Coturnix japonica: one gene and its partner. The protein of the gene in region 2 purifies or fractionates together with the protein of the main gene of each other region. This does not show direct contact. Links are inferred from orthologs where the notes say so. Each region holds a gene or a part of one and is shown on either strand. Other genes may lie near its edges. The genes, in order: PCBD2 and HNF1A.

Region 1 (6,790 bases), on a different chromosome or scaffold from region 2:
TCCCACAGAAACAGCTTCTGGAGGATGAACCCGACCAACACACACACACTAACTCCAGCCTACAAGGAGCTTGCTCCATGCATACCTGAACTGGAAGAAGTGAGTGTTATCTTGTAGTTACACCACATAGAGAATAGGAGAATTTCATAAGAAAATTGGAGGTGGGTCACCCTCCCTGGGTAAAGCCTGGATGCTCCATTGCACATCATGGCACAGCAGGTGCCGGGATCTGCTGCTTGATGTCATCACTCTGTGAGGTCACCTCCAGCTGAGGAAACCCCACTACTGCAGGATAAACCGAAACTCTGCACTACAACAACAGAGGCTGGTGATTCTTAATTGAGTTTGCATTACTGAGCAGTTTAGGCAAACCATGCCTGTTTTGGCTAAAGATTAATGGAAATTATTGGCAAGGCTGCTTTTAATGCAGCCCTGCAGTAGGGGACAGACCCCAAAGGCACCAACAGCCCTCCCACGGGCTCTGCCTCCACTGGCCACTGGCATGTAAGTGCTTAAGCACTTCTGTGCCTCCATATCTGCCCGAGCCTGAAGCAGGGCTGATACCAGCTCAATGAGTAGCTTCATCACAGCACAGAGCTTCCCCTTGCACTGCTGTAGCTCCGTGTCCTGCAGCCCAGCCTGGCTCTCACAGAGCACTGCTGGCAGCCGTGCCTGGACTGCCTCCAAAGTCCGTTTGCAAGTGAGTTGTCAGCTCCTCACCAAAGGGTCCAACTCTGCAACAGATCTTCAGCACGAGCAGCACTTACATAAACACAGCCTTTGATGTCAGCGGGAGAACTCACATCCATGTTTGCTTTCTGCTGCTTTTTTTTTTCTTGAGAGAAAAGAGAAAGGGAATGAGCAATTGTTAATGGATTTCAATTTGTCAGCATTGCTGTGCCTGCTAGCCTGGCTGCTCCGTGAGCGCTTCTTCCAGGACACACATATGTTTGGCTCATCCTGAGCTGCAGCTTTGCTCAAGCCACGAATATTTGTTGCTTGGCGCAACCAATTGTGAAAAACTGAACCTAGCTCACGCTGAGGATCTCATTAGCTTCAGTTAATTGGCAACTGGCTCATTAACCTGAGGCTGAAAAAGCCAGAGGATGTGCACACACCTACCAGCTCAGAGCTTACAAAATTGATGTTGTAGGCTCAAGGTGCAGAAAGGGACGAGGAGGAGCCCTAGTGCTGGATGGGAGGTCACCTCCTGCTGCACTGGGTGTGCATCCTGCAGTTTACTGGAGCTGGGCTCCCACTCTGGGGATAGGATAACGGACCAGCCCTGTTCCTGAGCAGTCCTTGGGGCTGTCAGGACCTGAGCAGCAATCCCCAGCTAGGAGTGCACTGCAGGCATCCCTCATCCTCTGCATTCCCAGCCCTGTGTGTTTGGCTTTTAATTTCCTGTGGCTGCAGATCAGTGTTGCAGGGACTGCACTTCCCAGTGGCTGCAGGGTGGGTCGGTGGGGAGAGTGTGGTGCTGCTGCCATCAAACCTACCCAAAGAGAAGCTGATCAGCAGGGAAAGCTGTGAGTTGGGCAGTTGCTGGAGCCCACCTGCTGCATGGAGCCGGGCAGCTCCTGAGATGCCATCACCTGGAGAAGCCCCAGTGCTTAGTCCAGCTACTTCTGTTCAGAGCAGAGCCAGTGATGCTCCTTGCAATGCAGCCTCAGGCTGGGATTTCCTGGCTGGGATCCCATACCTGTCACTGAATCCATACTGTATAAATTACCCACAAAGCTCCAGCTTGGTCAGGGAGCCCTGAACAGTGCCCCAGCATCCTGCCCTCACCTACATGGGTGGAGGAGAGCTGAGGGGATGCAGGAGAAGGCAATGGAGCTGGGTGGCTCCGCCTGGCTCCCAGTATGGATTCACAGAACCACAGGATGGGGGTGAGAGACGTTGCAGGGATGAGGAGCTCGCTGGGGGTTCCCCACATAATTGGGCTGCAGCTCAGAAATGCCCCAGTAATAAACAGCTGAACAAGCACTGACCTGGAGAACACACTGCTGTGAGTGTTTTGAAGCCATGCTCCTCCTCTTGGGCTGGTTCTGCTCCTTCCTCAGGCTGGGAGCTGCGACGTATGGTGGCTGCACAGCTCTGTGCCATACGGACAGCGGCGTCCAGGGAGAAATTAGCTGGTGGGGATTTTTTCCTCCGAGTATGTAAATAAATATCAACACTTTAAACCAAAGACCACCCAGCGACTAAATATTATTTATCTTCAAACTAAACAGCTTTGTCACATATGTATAATAATAAAGAAACAAATTACAAAGGAGGAATTTGATTTTATTGGCTTGATGCAAAGCGTTGGCATTCTGTATCAATTTCTAACAGCAGAGTTTGCACCATTCATTGCAGACACCATCCAAACTTTGGGTGAGACTCGTTTCATTCCTCCACCAGGAACTGGAGACATCACAGCCCGACTTGAAGCTGAAATCCACCACTCCAGTGGGGAAAGGCACTATGAAGCAAAGAACATTGGAGCACGTTGCTTGAATCCAGGTCTTCCTTAGGTTTTAATATCAATATCCATCAGCACCAGTAAAGCCCAACACCTCCCATCTTGCCTCCTGCCACCAATTAGCACGTGATACTGCACTTGCTAAGCATTAACAAAAACACCATTCCTATTTTACCGACAGCAGTATCTGCATTTCAGCTACTGGCATTTTGCATCCCAAATAGCTGACAGACCACACACTGCACACACACCCAGAATAGACCCTGGCAGCTGCTGCCCCTCAGTGTATGTCTCAGTTCCCAGCCGTGCCCTCGGTGACCCCCAGCCGCGCTGCAGGCATTTCACAGGGGTCACTCTGCCAGTGCTGCACCCGAGGGGCTCGCAGGGCACACAGGGACTGGCAGCCACAAGAAGGGTGAGCATAGCTCCAGCTGAGCCCAGCTTAGCAAGAATCCTGCTAATGCTGCTTCCCTCACTGCCGGCACCTGGCCAGGCTCCTCTTCCCCTCTTGCAGGTACGAGCAGAGCTAACAGCTCCATCCTCCACCCAGCACTACACCCAGAGTTTTATTAACAGCACCGGGAGCTGAGACCTGGTGCTATTTGCTGAAGCAGCAAGGGGGATATGGAAGTCAGCACTGAAACTGGTGAGCACAGGCTCACAGGAGTCTCTCAGATAAAAGCCTTAAAGACAAACAAAGCTATGCCACTCTTTATAGAATACTTTGTCCCTTCAGGGGGGCTGTGAAATCAGAGTTACAGTGAATGAGGGACACCATTCAAAATACAAGGCAGTGCCTTAAAATGCTGTATACCTGCTTCATACGGAGGCAGCAGCCTTGTCAATGAACTGAGCCAGATTCAAGTCTCTCTTGGTCAGCCCGCCGCAGTCGTGGGAAATGAGGGTGATCTGAACCTGCCAAGAAGGAGCAGCAAGGTGTTACAAGGACGGTGTCCCATGGGGAAGCCATGTCTGCCCACCCACAGCTCCTCCAGGTGTATCTATGGGACAGCATGGATCTGCCAATACTGCAACACAATGCAGTGAGAAGCACCAGGAAATCAAAATGATGGGGAGCAGTGGTTCCCCCCCCCTCACACAGCACCTTTCTTCCAAGGGTTGCAGAGTGCATTCTAACCTCTGTAATAGTAAGACCAGCAGCAGCCAGGCAATGTTATACACAAGTTTTATAAGCTGCTATACTGAGACATGGGCTGGGGATGTTTAACAAATCCCAGTTTAGGCTGCCATCCAGGTACCTGCACGTTGCACAGACAGAAGTGAGAGCTGGTGGGCACTCAGAGGTTCCAGCACAGCCACTCACACAGGCTGCCTACAGAAGAGGTTTAAGGCTTCTGCTCTTAGCTCTCAGCCAGCAAGGCAAAGTGCCAGCCCCAAGCCACACGGCAAGCAGCTGCAAACAGCCGGATGTCTGGTGCCAGCTCACTGCTACCAATCACAGTATCTCTTTAAAGTCCCACATCTCTAGAGAAAGACACATCACCTCCCCATTCCCTCTGCTCCTCCACTGCACACAAACCACAGGAAGGGCACAGAGGACGGGCCAGTGCTTTGGTGTGTGTGTGTGTAACTCAGGCTGGTGGGCACGTTACCTTGCTGTAGACGTTGAACCATTCCGGGTGGTGATTCATCTTCTCTGCCTGTAGAGCAACTCGTGTCATAAATCCAAACGCCTAAGGGAGAAAGAACAGAGAGGAAAGCCTTCCTCCATCTGCTGGGATGTAGATGGCAGATGTTCTGGCAGCTGATCTGCAAGATTCAATCTGAAATCTCAGAACCTGCTGGAGAAATGTTTTTGGTCCTTGAGCCACCAAAGCGCTTCCTGACCTCACTGAAATCCTCCCCTTTGAGTCCTGGTGAATCACTGCTCAGTGTTACTTGCTCCAGGATTCAAAGCTGTTGCACAGGAACAATGATTTTACCCTTGGCACCCAAAAATGGTTTTTAACATCCATCCCAGCAGCCCTCACCCTCACTACATCTTTGCCAATGTGCTGTTTCCATCTAGGGCCCATGCCACAATATTCCCATACTGGACAGATACCATTCGCAGAAACACATCTCCTCACGTAACTATTTTGCTATTTATTTTACTTGGGGGGAGAAAGGAGGCAGGTGGCTTTGCCTCTCTGCTTTATGAGGAAATATTTTACCTTAAGTGAGTTAAAATGGGTTTCCCAATCCTCTGCCCCTATATTCTGCACAGGACTTTCCCCCAGGATGCAGGTTTTATCACGGGCTCAAGAAGAAAATAATAGCATGCCCTTGCCAAAATGCTTAAGAGCAAATCACTGCATTATAAAGAAAATGAGAATGTCCATGTAAATCAAGAATGCAATTATGCAGCAGGGTCCAAAGGGCCTCAGTGCGTGTGCAGAACGCCTCCAAGCCAACGGGCTCTATTCAAGCTGCGCTCCATCCATCAGGGTTGGGACCTAAATTAACATGCAAAGCAAAAGTAACATCCACGGTATAGTCTGGTTTGTATTAGAATGCAACGATCTCGACAAAGGCCTATCTGATTTAGGTAAGTTTTTAGCACTCATTTATGGAAGAGAATGTATATAGCCTGCATTCCACCAAGCGATGGCCGCTTCAAACAAACATGTGGTCAATGAATAACATATAATGGCTGATAATAGTTTCAGTCTTTTTTCCTCTCACAAATTACAAAAACCTTTAAGGAAAAGAAAAAAAAAAACCAGCATCGGTGCCTGGATGAAGTATGACTTTGTTACTCGCTTTGCCAGCCCAATGAATGCAAACGTTATAATCAGAGAAAATCATTCCAATGAGGCTTGTCATTTGGAAATCACCAAACTGTCAGCAATTAAAAAGCTTTTTTCCTTGACCCAAGAGCATTCCAAAATTCGGGAAATCCAACTTCCCTTGAAGCTCTCATTTGGTTTCATTTTCCTCGGAGCGAACAATTACTGTTAAAAGATGGCCCATGTTCCAGCAGCACGCGGTGCACAAAGCGGTACGATGTACATCAGCAACCAAATGCATCTGCATTAAAAGCTCTGAAACACTGCATTCAATAGCTCTGAGACTGCCCAGGGTCACAACAAGAATCAAACGAGACTCTATTAAGATTGAGGTCTTAGGGAATCTATTGACAACCCATACATTTCCACAGCAGCCTATACAGAGAGAAATTAAGACAGCATTGCAACCACTAATGCATTGCCTTTGTAGAAAGAACAGCAGAAAGAAAGCCAGATTAAACCTATGGAAAGCCCCACCAGGGTCTGTGCGTCCATCCAAGCAGCTCTGACATACAGACATACCTGGGTTATTGGGACTGGGGTAGCCCAAAGCCCACAAGGGATTCCCAAGCACACTGTGCACCCACACTCGTGCCCATGCCCCGCTGCTCTCCCTGACTGCAAACTGCTGAAGCCCCTCACTTTTGTGTACCAGCTCGTTTCAGTTACACACAAAATAGAAGCATCTCCCGCTAAGAAAATGAGCTACAGTTCCACCAAGCAATTTCACCAACGCAATCTCCATTACGGTCCTAAATACTTCCTCTGCTAATTAAATGAATTGGAATGCTATTGTTTGGAAATCGCCTTGATATTTGTAGAGCCGTAACCTCTCTTTGAGAAAATACAATTGGCTCTGCTAGGAAAAGATATTTAGACTTGATTAGATATGAAAACACTATTACATAAAATCAGTTTGGACATTTCTTCACGTCTTGAAACTTGATCGGTAATTTGGTCTAATTGGTGATCAAGGAAACTATCTTGTGATCAATTAAAGTAATTACCACATTCCGGCAACACAACCAACCTTAATTTGAGCAGGAGTCTGCACTTCTTCAACTTTAATTAAAAATAATGAAAATTATTAAGCAGTCTGCAGTGCAAGATCATTGCCAAGAGTGCAGCAGTGGGCAGAATCCATCAGCCCAACACACGCTACTGGGTGAAGCTAGGACAGGCTCTCAACGCCGATCGTGACCTTCACTGCACCAACAGCTCTGCAGCCCCTCTGACGTTAATGGGCACGTTTTCACATTTTTCCTTGAAAAACAAAGAGAGGGATGAGAAAGGATGCCTGCGTTTTCTAGAAGCCACAAAGAAAGGAGCCTTTGATATATTAACTATCATCAGATATTCTGGTTTTTCAGAATGAGAGGAAGACATTTCCAACATCAACCTTTCAGGACGTTTTGTCTGAAGTAACACCCGGATACACGGGTTACACCAAGCTTGATGCATCACTCAGGTCCTGGAAGATCACAGAGCCCTGCAGTGAGTCAGAAACAGCACCTAGAAAGATATGAGTGAA
Region 2 (6,852 bases):
TAACAGATGCCAAAAGGTAACGTCCTTAAAATGATATTGTAATTACAGCCAGGACAGAAGAATCTGTAATAGGAATTACTCTATAATAGAAACTACTTCTAGCAATGAACAAAAGAAAGGAAGGCAAGAAATTTCCAAGCCCAGGTATTCCCAGTAGAACTTCAATGACTGCAAAACTACCTATTTCAGCATCTACACAAGGATTTCATGTTGAGAAATCAGATGGAGGATCTTTTGCCTTCATAAAGAAGTTTCTTCAGGCTAACAACTCCTGGTCTGATACTGCAGACCACATTTTAACAGAGATTGACCTGTGGGCAGCTATAGGCAATACAAGAAAGCCCTTGTGGGTTTCTGCTAGACTTTCTGGGTGATGGAAAGGAAAAGTGACGGCACCAAGAGACCCAATATATCCTCACAGGACCACTGAAGTTGGAAGTGCAGTTTCAGAAGCACTGAACAAAGCCGAGTGATCTAGGAGTTCAACAAGAGACATCCACGCAACTGGGATCCTATGGGCATCTATTACATTTTGTCCCTGCCGAAAACGACTGATAAAGGCAATTCAGACTAAAGCTTCTCTAGAGAGAAACTGACATGTTATCATTTCATCCCTAAATGTCTCATTGATCCTCCACAAATCTGCAATCTGAGCAAATCTAGATCACTATACGGACAGAAAGAACGGCCTGGTATTACCTACAGAAGGCAAGAGACAGGCATCCTTGGGAGCAGGGACAGACTGTGTTACTACACATCCGGAGGATGGCAAGAGCTATAGCAGCAGTTCACCTGAAGGGCAAGAAGCAAAATTCCATTAGGAAAGAGAGAAACTGAGATAAGCAACAGGTTTCCCCTAGAGGCAGGGTCAAAAGCATGATTTCCTTGAGACAAAAAAAATAGCCATGTGATGATAAAGAGTCAATATCTTCCTCATGTAAACTGTCTTCATGCAGCCGTAACTGGGGAATGCTGAGATGGAGCTGCCACACCCCTTTCATTTCCACATATAAACCAAGATAAAGTGAACCAGGCCAAGTTCATCAGAAAGGAGCCCTGCTGATGGTCTTACCTGCCCTGCTCTCTGCCCAGCACGGCTCCAGGTGTGCACTGGCATCAGTGAGGGTTGTCTAGCAGGCTCCAGAGGAAAGGGGCAGAGCACAGTGCTGAGAACTTCACAGCTCTGAACCTCTGCTTAAGTGAGCTCTGGTCCAAACAGCAATTCCGAGCCTACGAAGGATTCTCTTGCCTGAGAATTTGAGAACAAGAAAGAAGGAAAGGAGAAATGGGGGGGAGGGAAGGGAAAAACAGGGGGGGAAGAAAGGAAGGGAAGAAAAAGAGAAAGAAAGGAACAAAGGAAAAAGAAGAAAAGTCAAGAAGAGTGAAGGAAGGAGAATGTCCCCTGAATGTTACATCTCCAGCTCTCTGGAATGGGTTTTCTTTAATGCTAACAACTTGATATTTACTTTCCATTTAAATTTGAGATGTTGCTATAAATTATCAACCAGCCTCTTGTTCCCTTTGAGTTTATAACTAACTACCTGGGTTACTTATTGTTCAGGTAACAAAAGGGAGGTGAAAACGCCCTTAAAAAGTGACCTCAAAACTAAGAAAAAGGGAAGCTGGAATGGAAAGAAGACCCAGGCCCCTGTGGCTGGGATGAGTCAGGGAAAGAGGCCGTGCTCAGAAGCAGGAAGAAGCTGAAATCAGGACAGCAAGATTTGGGAAATAAGCATTGTGTAGGAAGAACTTCCAGGAAGAACTTAACATCTCTAAAACAAGAATGGGATGAGGGGTAGCTTCTGTTTGGGAAGAACGAAGATAAAAAGGCAGGAAATGTGCTTGTAGGTAGAAGAAAGCTTGACTGAGGCACACCCAGTTCTAACTCACTGTGGAAGTGAGATTTTAGCACACCTACAACAGGAAAACTGACAGTCAGTGACAGTCCTACCACTGGTGAAGGAATTAAGGTTTACTTTATGATCTGTGTGACAACACTGCAGACTCTGCAGGTGGAACCGAGCATCTGGGCAGGTGCTCATCTCAGGGATCAGCTGAGCAGCTGCCATTGCTTGTTTTGTGATGTAGTCCAGGGCCAAAATAAATTGCTGCGCTGGTATTACAGCCTGTGTTTTGATGGTGTACAGAGTAGCTTGGATTACATGCAACTACCTTATGAAATTATACTGTGGTAAGAATTCCCTGCAGTGCTTTCCCTTACAGAACTCTCTCTGCTTTGTCTCAATACAAAACAAACAAACAGAAAAGAAAGCACAAGGCTTTGAACTACAGTGAAAAAGAGACGCTCAGATTATTCCCGCTTTGTTCCTACCACAAAGAAGTGAGGATCTTGACAGGGGAGACAGAAGCGACTCGCCATCAGCCTGCAGGAAGGAAATCAATATGTAACAGTGGTTTCCATCAGTAATGACACAGTCCTTCCTTTCCCCATCTGAGCCAGAACTCAGATCTAAGGGAAGAGATTGCAAGTCTCAGCCTTTTCTCTTATGTGCAGGAACAAATGCAAGGCACATGTGCTGGCTAGACTATAACACAAATACAGAGGGAAGAACAACACTAAAGATGGAATAGCTCTGTACATCCAGCCCAATTTGAGGCTTCTGAAAAGATGAAGATAGTTAAGAGAAGAGGCCAGAAGACTGAAGCCTCTGTAGCAAGTGTACCATCATAAAAGAGAAGCAAATGGTCCTATTTTAAGAAAGCAGGTTCTTCAGAGAACCATAACCATCTCTGCTTCTGCCATACTTTAACTGCAGCAGAGCTTGCTCCTTGGACTACCCAGCCACTGTGAAAGGCTGCGAGGGGAACAGAGATAAGGGTATTTGCACTGAGAGAACAGGTGTGGACTTTGTCCTGCTTATCACTTTGCAGCCTCTGGCAACCTACTGAATCAACAAAGCCGCCAACAGTACAGCTGTTGCCAGTCGCTCAGATCTCTGTATTCTTGCAACACATCACCCACAATATTAGACATATTTTTTCATCTCTGCTGCTCCTTTGATGCTGGTGTTAGATGCAGCACCGCTGTATTTCTACAGTGCACAAACCTTCTCCATCAGACATCCTGCATACAAAACACAGAAGGATGCTTTGTTAAAACTGAACCAGAATCTTCTCCATAGGGAGACTCCTGAGTTGACTGGTTCTAGGCTGCATGTTTTCCAATCTTTCTATTTTTACTGTAGTTTTCAGTCTCAGTGAAACTGACAAACACAAAGAAGCTGCAGTCAAAGTCACATTCTCTATTCTCACAAATTCATAGAAAGCCTCAGGTTGGAAGGGGCCTTAAAGGTCATCTAGCTTTAGCTCTCCTGCTGTGGGCAAGGTACCTATTAGATCAGAGCCCCATCCAACCTGGCACTGAACACCTCCTTAGGAACAGTTGTGGATATTCTAATTAGAGGTCTTAGTCAGAGATTCACGTTCATTATAAAATCCCAAATCAGATTAGCTTCAAGTTTTCCACCAGCTGTTATCCCAAAGGAGGGTGGCAATTAATAGGTTGCCTGTTCTTTATAGCATGTAGGAGTCTGAGTGGATCTAGATGTTAATCAGTATGTTCACATAATGCAAAGCTGATGCACAAAATCATAATGCCAGATTGCTTGCTGTATACATATTACATGCATAGCTGTCCTGTGACAGTATGATGAAAGCCTGTTTTCATAGCCTGAATCACTGCCATGTTTCTCATCCCTGACAAGATTTAGGGCATGAGCTAGGTTCAGCATAGTAACACAGTGAATCTGTCCTGGAAAAATGAATTACACCTGTCCCAAGCACTTATGCCTTAAAGAAAGAGGACAGAGAAGAAAAGGTTTGTAGAGAATGGCAAGATAGTTGTCAACTCTGAAAAATAGATATCTGTAGTCATAACACATCCAGCTGAATGCTGAGATACAGTGCAACTCTCTCCCTATGGCATTATTCACTAGCAGCAAAAAACGCCTTATTACTTCCCAGCAGAATGGGATGTACATTCCTTGTCCGTGTCACTTGTCAGCACCTTCTGTCATTTGCAGATGACTGTTGCCTGAACGGAGCTTTGTATTTTTATACAAAGCCTTGTATAAAAATAAGATGGCAAAGACTGCAGCCACGTTTTGGAAAGTTCCCCCAGTAGCCACAGATGGCTCCTTCTAAGTGGATATCAAAGTGCCTTGCAATGCAGGTCTGCAGAGTGCAGGTGTTACTGACAGCTCCCCTGAGAAGTGTTTTCTGCTCCTTCTAGAGAGGATCCCTGGCGGGTAGCAAAGATGGTGAAATCCTACCTCCAGCAGCACAACATCCCTCAGCGCGAGGTGGTGGACACTACTGGTCTGAACCAATCCCACCTCTCACAGCACCTCAACAAGGGCACTCCCATGAAGACCCAAAAAAGGGCAGCCCTCTACACCTGGTATGTCCGCAAGCAGCGAGAGGTGGCCCAGCGTAAGTACAGCAGCAATTGTTCTCCACTCTCAAACTTCATAACAGCCTCTGCTCTCCTTGCTAACCCCTACTGCCCATTTCTATCAGGGGCAAAAAGGCAGAAAAAGCAATTTCTGGAGGAACCCAACTGCACATGGAAAAACACTTCATCACAAAACAGCCTGCAGTTCCCGCTCCACCCATCACTTCCCTAAAGAGATGCAACATTATTCATTTGCCATTAGAGTTGGAAATCCATACTCAGACTAAAGCAGCGTACCTGACACATCACAGACATTTCTGTCTGAGCACTGGGCTGGTACAAATTTCAGCTAAAGCAGCAGTTCCCTTAGCTGCAAAAAGCAGCAATCTATTGTACTTGCTGTAACAAACCACTGTAACAAACAAATCACATCTTGCTCCAGGCCCTCTATATACAGACATCCACTGGTAACCCATCACTGCAGCATGCACCTCTGAATTTAGGAATCCACCTGGAATACATCAATTAACTTTGTATTTACGAGTTGCAAGTAAAATGAGACAGCCTGGGTGTGGGTCGTTCTAGAGAGCAGGACCCCAGTCACACTTACTCTCAAGCCTCCCACATCTGTTTTCACTTCCCCAAGGAGAGAGCTGAGGTGCAATGCATGCAAGAGAAAGGGTGGTCGGTCAACACAGTCCTGCTAGGAATATCTTGATTGTTTTAGCAGATTAAGGAACTTTATTTTTACCCTGTCTAGATTCAAGCCTCTGTTTTGTATGATGTTTTTCTCCAAGAGTAAGCTCTTACCAGGCCTGCTGTGAGAAAAACAGATCTAACTGCTGAAAATGCTTCCAGAAAAATGAACTCTCTTGCCCTTTGTGCCTGCAGAGTTCACACATGCTGGTCAGGGGATCTTGACAGAGGAGCCCATGGGAGACGATCTGCCCACCAAGAAGGGACGAAGAAACCGCTTTAAGTGGGGGCCGGCCTCCCAACAGATTCTGTTCCAAGCCTATGAGAGACAAAAGAACCCCAGCAAAGAAGAGAGAGAGGCACTAGTAGAAGAGTGCAACAGGTAAAGAAGGGTGCCTGGCTCTGAAGAAGCTGAGTCTTTGCATCCTCGGTGTGCTAAGGCCCACATGAGGGTTGTGGCATCAGCCACATTTGCATGACACGCTACCACCAAACATTCCCCTTTTGCTAAGGAAGCAGCAATGCCCCATTGTCTTGCTGTACCCAGCAGGACCCTTCCCCATGGTGTATAAGAACACAGCCACTTTGGGGCTGCACACTTACTCCTGCCTTTTGACCAAGGCAGATTCAGCAGAACTCTTGTTGTGCTCTCTCCTAACAGAGCAGAGTGTATCCAGAGAGGCGTTTCCCCATCTCAGGCCCAGGGTCTGGGCTCAAACCTGGTGACCGAGGTGCGAGTGTACAACTGGTTTGCCAACCGCAGGAAGGAGGAGGCTTTCCGGCACAAACTGGCCATGGACAACTTCAGCAGCCCGCAGCCCACCTCTGCTCCCCCCCTCACACCTCACAACTCTTCCTCCCTTCAGCCACCTCCTGCTCTTTCACCCACCAAAGTTCACGGTAAGAAAAAACCAGGGGGAGATCTGAAAGGGAGACAGCAAACCTGCCCCCTTTGACCTAAAAGTCCAGAGATGAGCGCCCACAAATGAAACTGAGCTCAGCACTTGGTGAAGTGTCTCAGTTTTAACAGTTCCCTCCCACTGTGATACAGGAGTGAGGTACAACCAGCAGCCAGCCAGTGAGGCAGAGTCCTCCAGCAGCAACCACCACGGGAACAGCTCCATGGTGACCACCCAAACCATCCTGCATCAGGTTTCTCCCCCTGGGCTGGAGCCCAGCCAGAACCTACTGAGCACAGACACCAAGCTGGTAAGTGATGTACACCCAAGTACTGGTGACCAGAGGGTGGTCACAGGATAGACACTACAGAAATGGTATTTCCTAGAATCCTTTAAAGCAACCTTATTACACATACAGGACAACCACCTTGCATTGACTTTGCAATATGAGAAGTTGGGATTACTGTGTACTCCAGACTGATGGGAAGGGGAGGCATTAGGACATGAAAGCACAGGCATTTCTTTAATACTAATCTAAACAATCTGCTGTGGAAAAACAGAACAACCAACAACAAAAGAACACAGCTCAAAGTATGATACGGTTTGATTGCCTTCCTCCCAGCAGGCTCTTATCTCCCTTTCCCCTGCCACACTCATCACCTCTGCCACTTGAACACCGCACATCTCAAAGCAGTTGATCAGACACCAATGAGATGTCTACATTGCAGCAACCCACCTTCCTCAAAGCAAGTTTCCTTCTGAGAGGTGTTTTTATTGTGTCTTTTTCTTTTTTAAACAATAGCTCTTTCTACTTAACTAGCAATTGAGCATTAGAGCAACATG

The links.
Region 1: the proteins of HNF1A (region 2) and PCBD2 purify together in Homo sapiens (affinity purification with mass spectrometry; 4 studies listed by BioGRID and IntAct, with this or other methods). This does not show direct contact. The link is inferred for Coturnix japonica from reciprocal best matches to the Homo sapiens genes HNF1A and PCBD2.

Annotation. Positions count from the first base shown.
Region 1 is NC_029528.1:2,498,758-2,505,547, reverse strand, and holds the end of PCBD2 (pterin-4-alpha-carbinolamine dehydratase 2), read right to left. Parts: intron 4,165-6,790; coding exon 4,084-4,164; intron 3,386-4,083; coding exon 3,290-3,385; 3' UTR 3,285-3,289; intron 2,471-3,284; 3' UTR 2,272-2,470; downstream 1-2,271.
Region 2 is NC_029530.1:8,069,618-8,076,469, reverse strand, and holds part of HNF1A (hepatocyte nuclear factor 1-alpha), read left to right. Parts: exon of another isoform or gene 1-1,033; intron 1,034-1,072; coding exon of another isoform or gene 1,073-1,117; exon of another isoform or gene 1,118-1,443; intron 1,444-4,252; coding exon 4,253-4,452; intron 4,453-5,305; coding exon 5,306-5,492; intron 5,493-5,771; coding exon 5,772-6,010; intron 6,011-6,161; coding exon 6,162-6,319; intron 6,320-6,852. Other genes in the region: SPPL3 (signal peptide peptidase-like 3), read right to left, coding at 1,073-1,117. UniProt on the Homo sapiens protein: Transcriptional activator that regulates the tissue specific expression of multiple genes, especially in pancreatic islet cells and in liver. Binds to the inverted palindrome 5'-GTTAATNATTAAC-3'.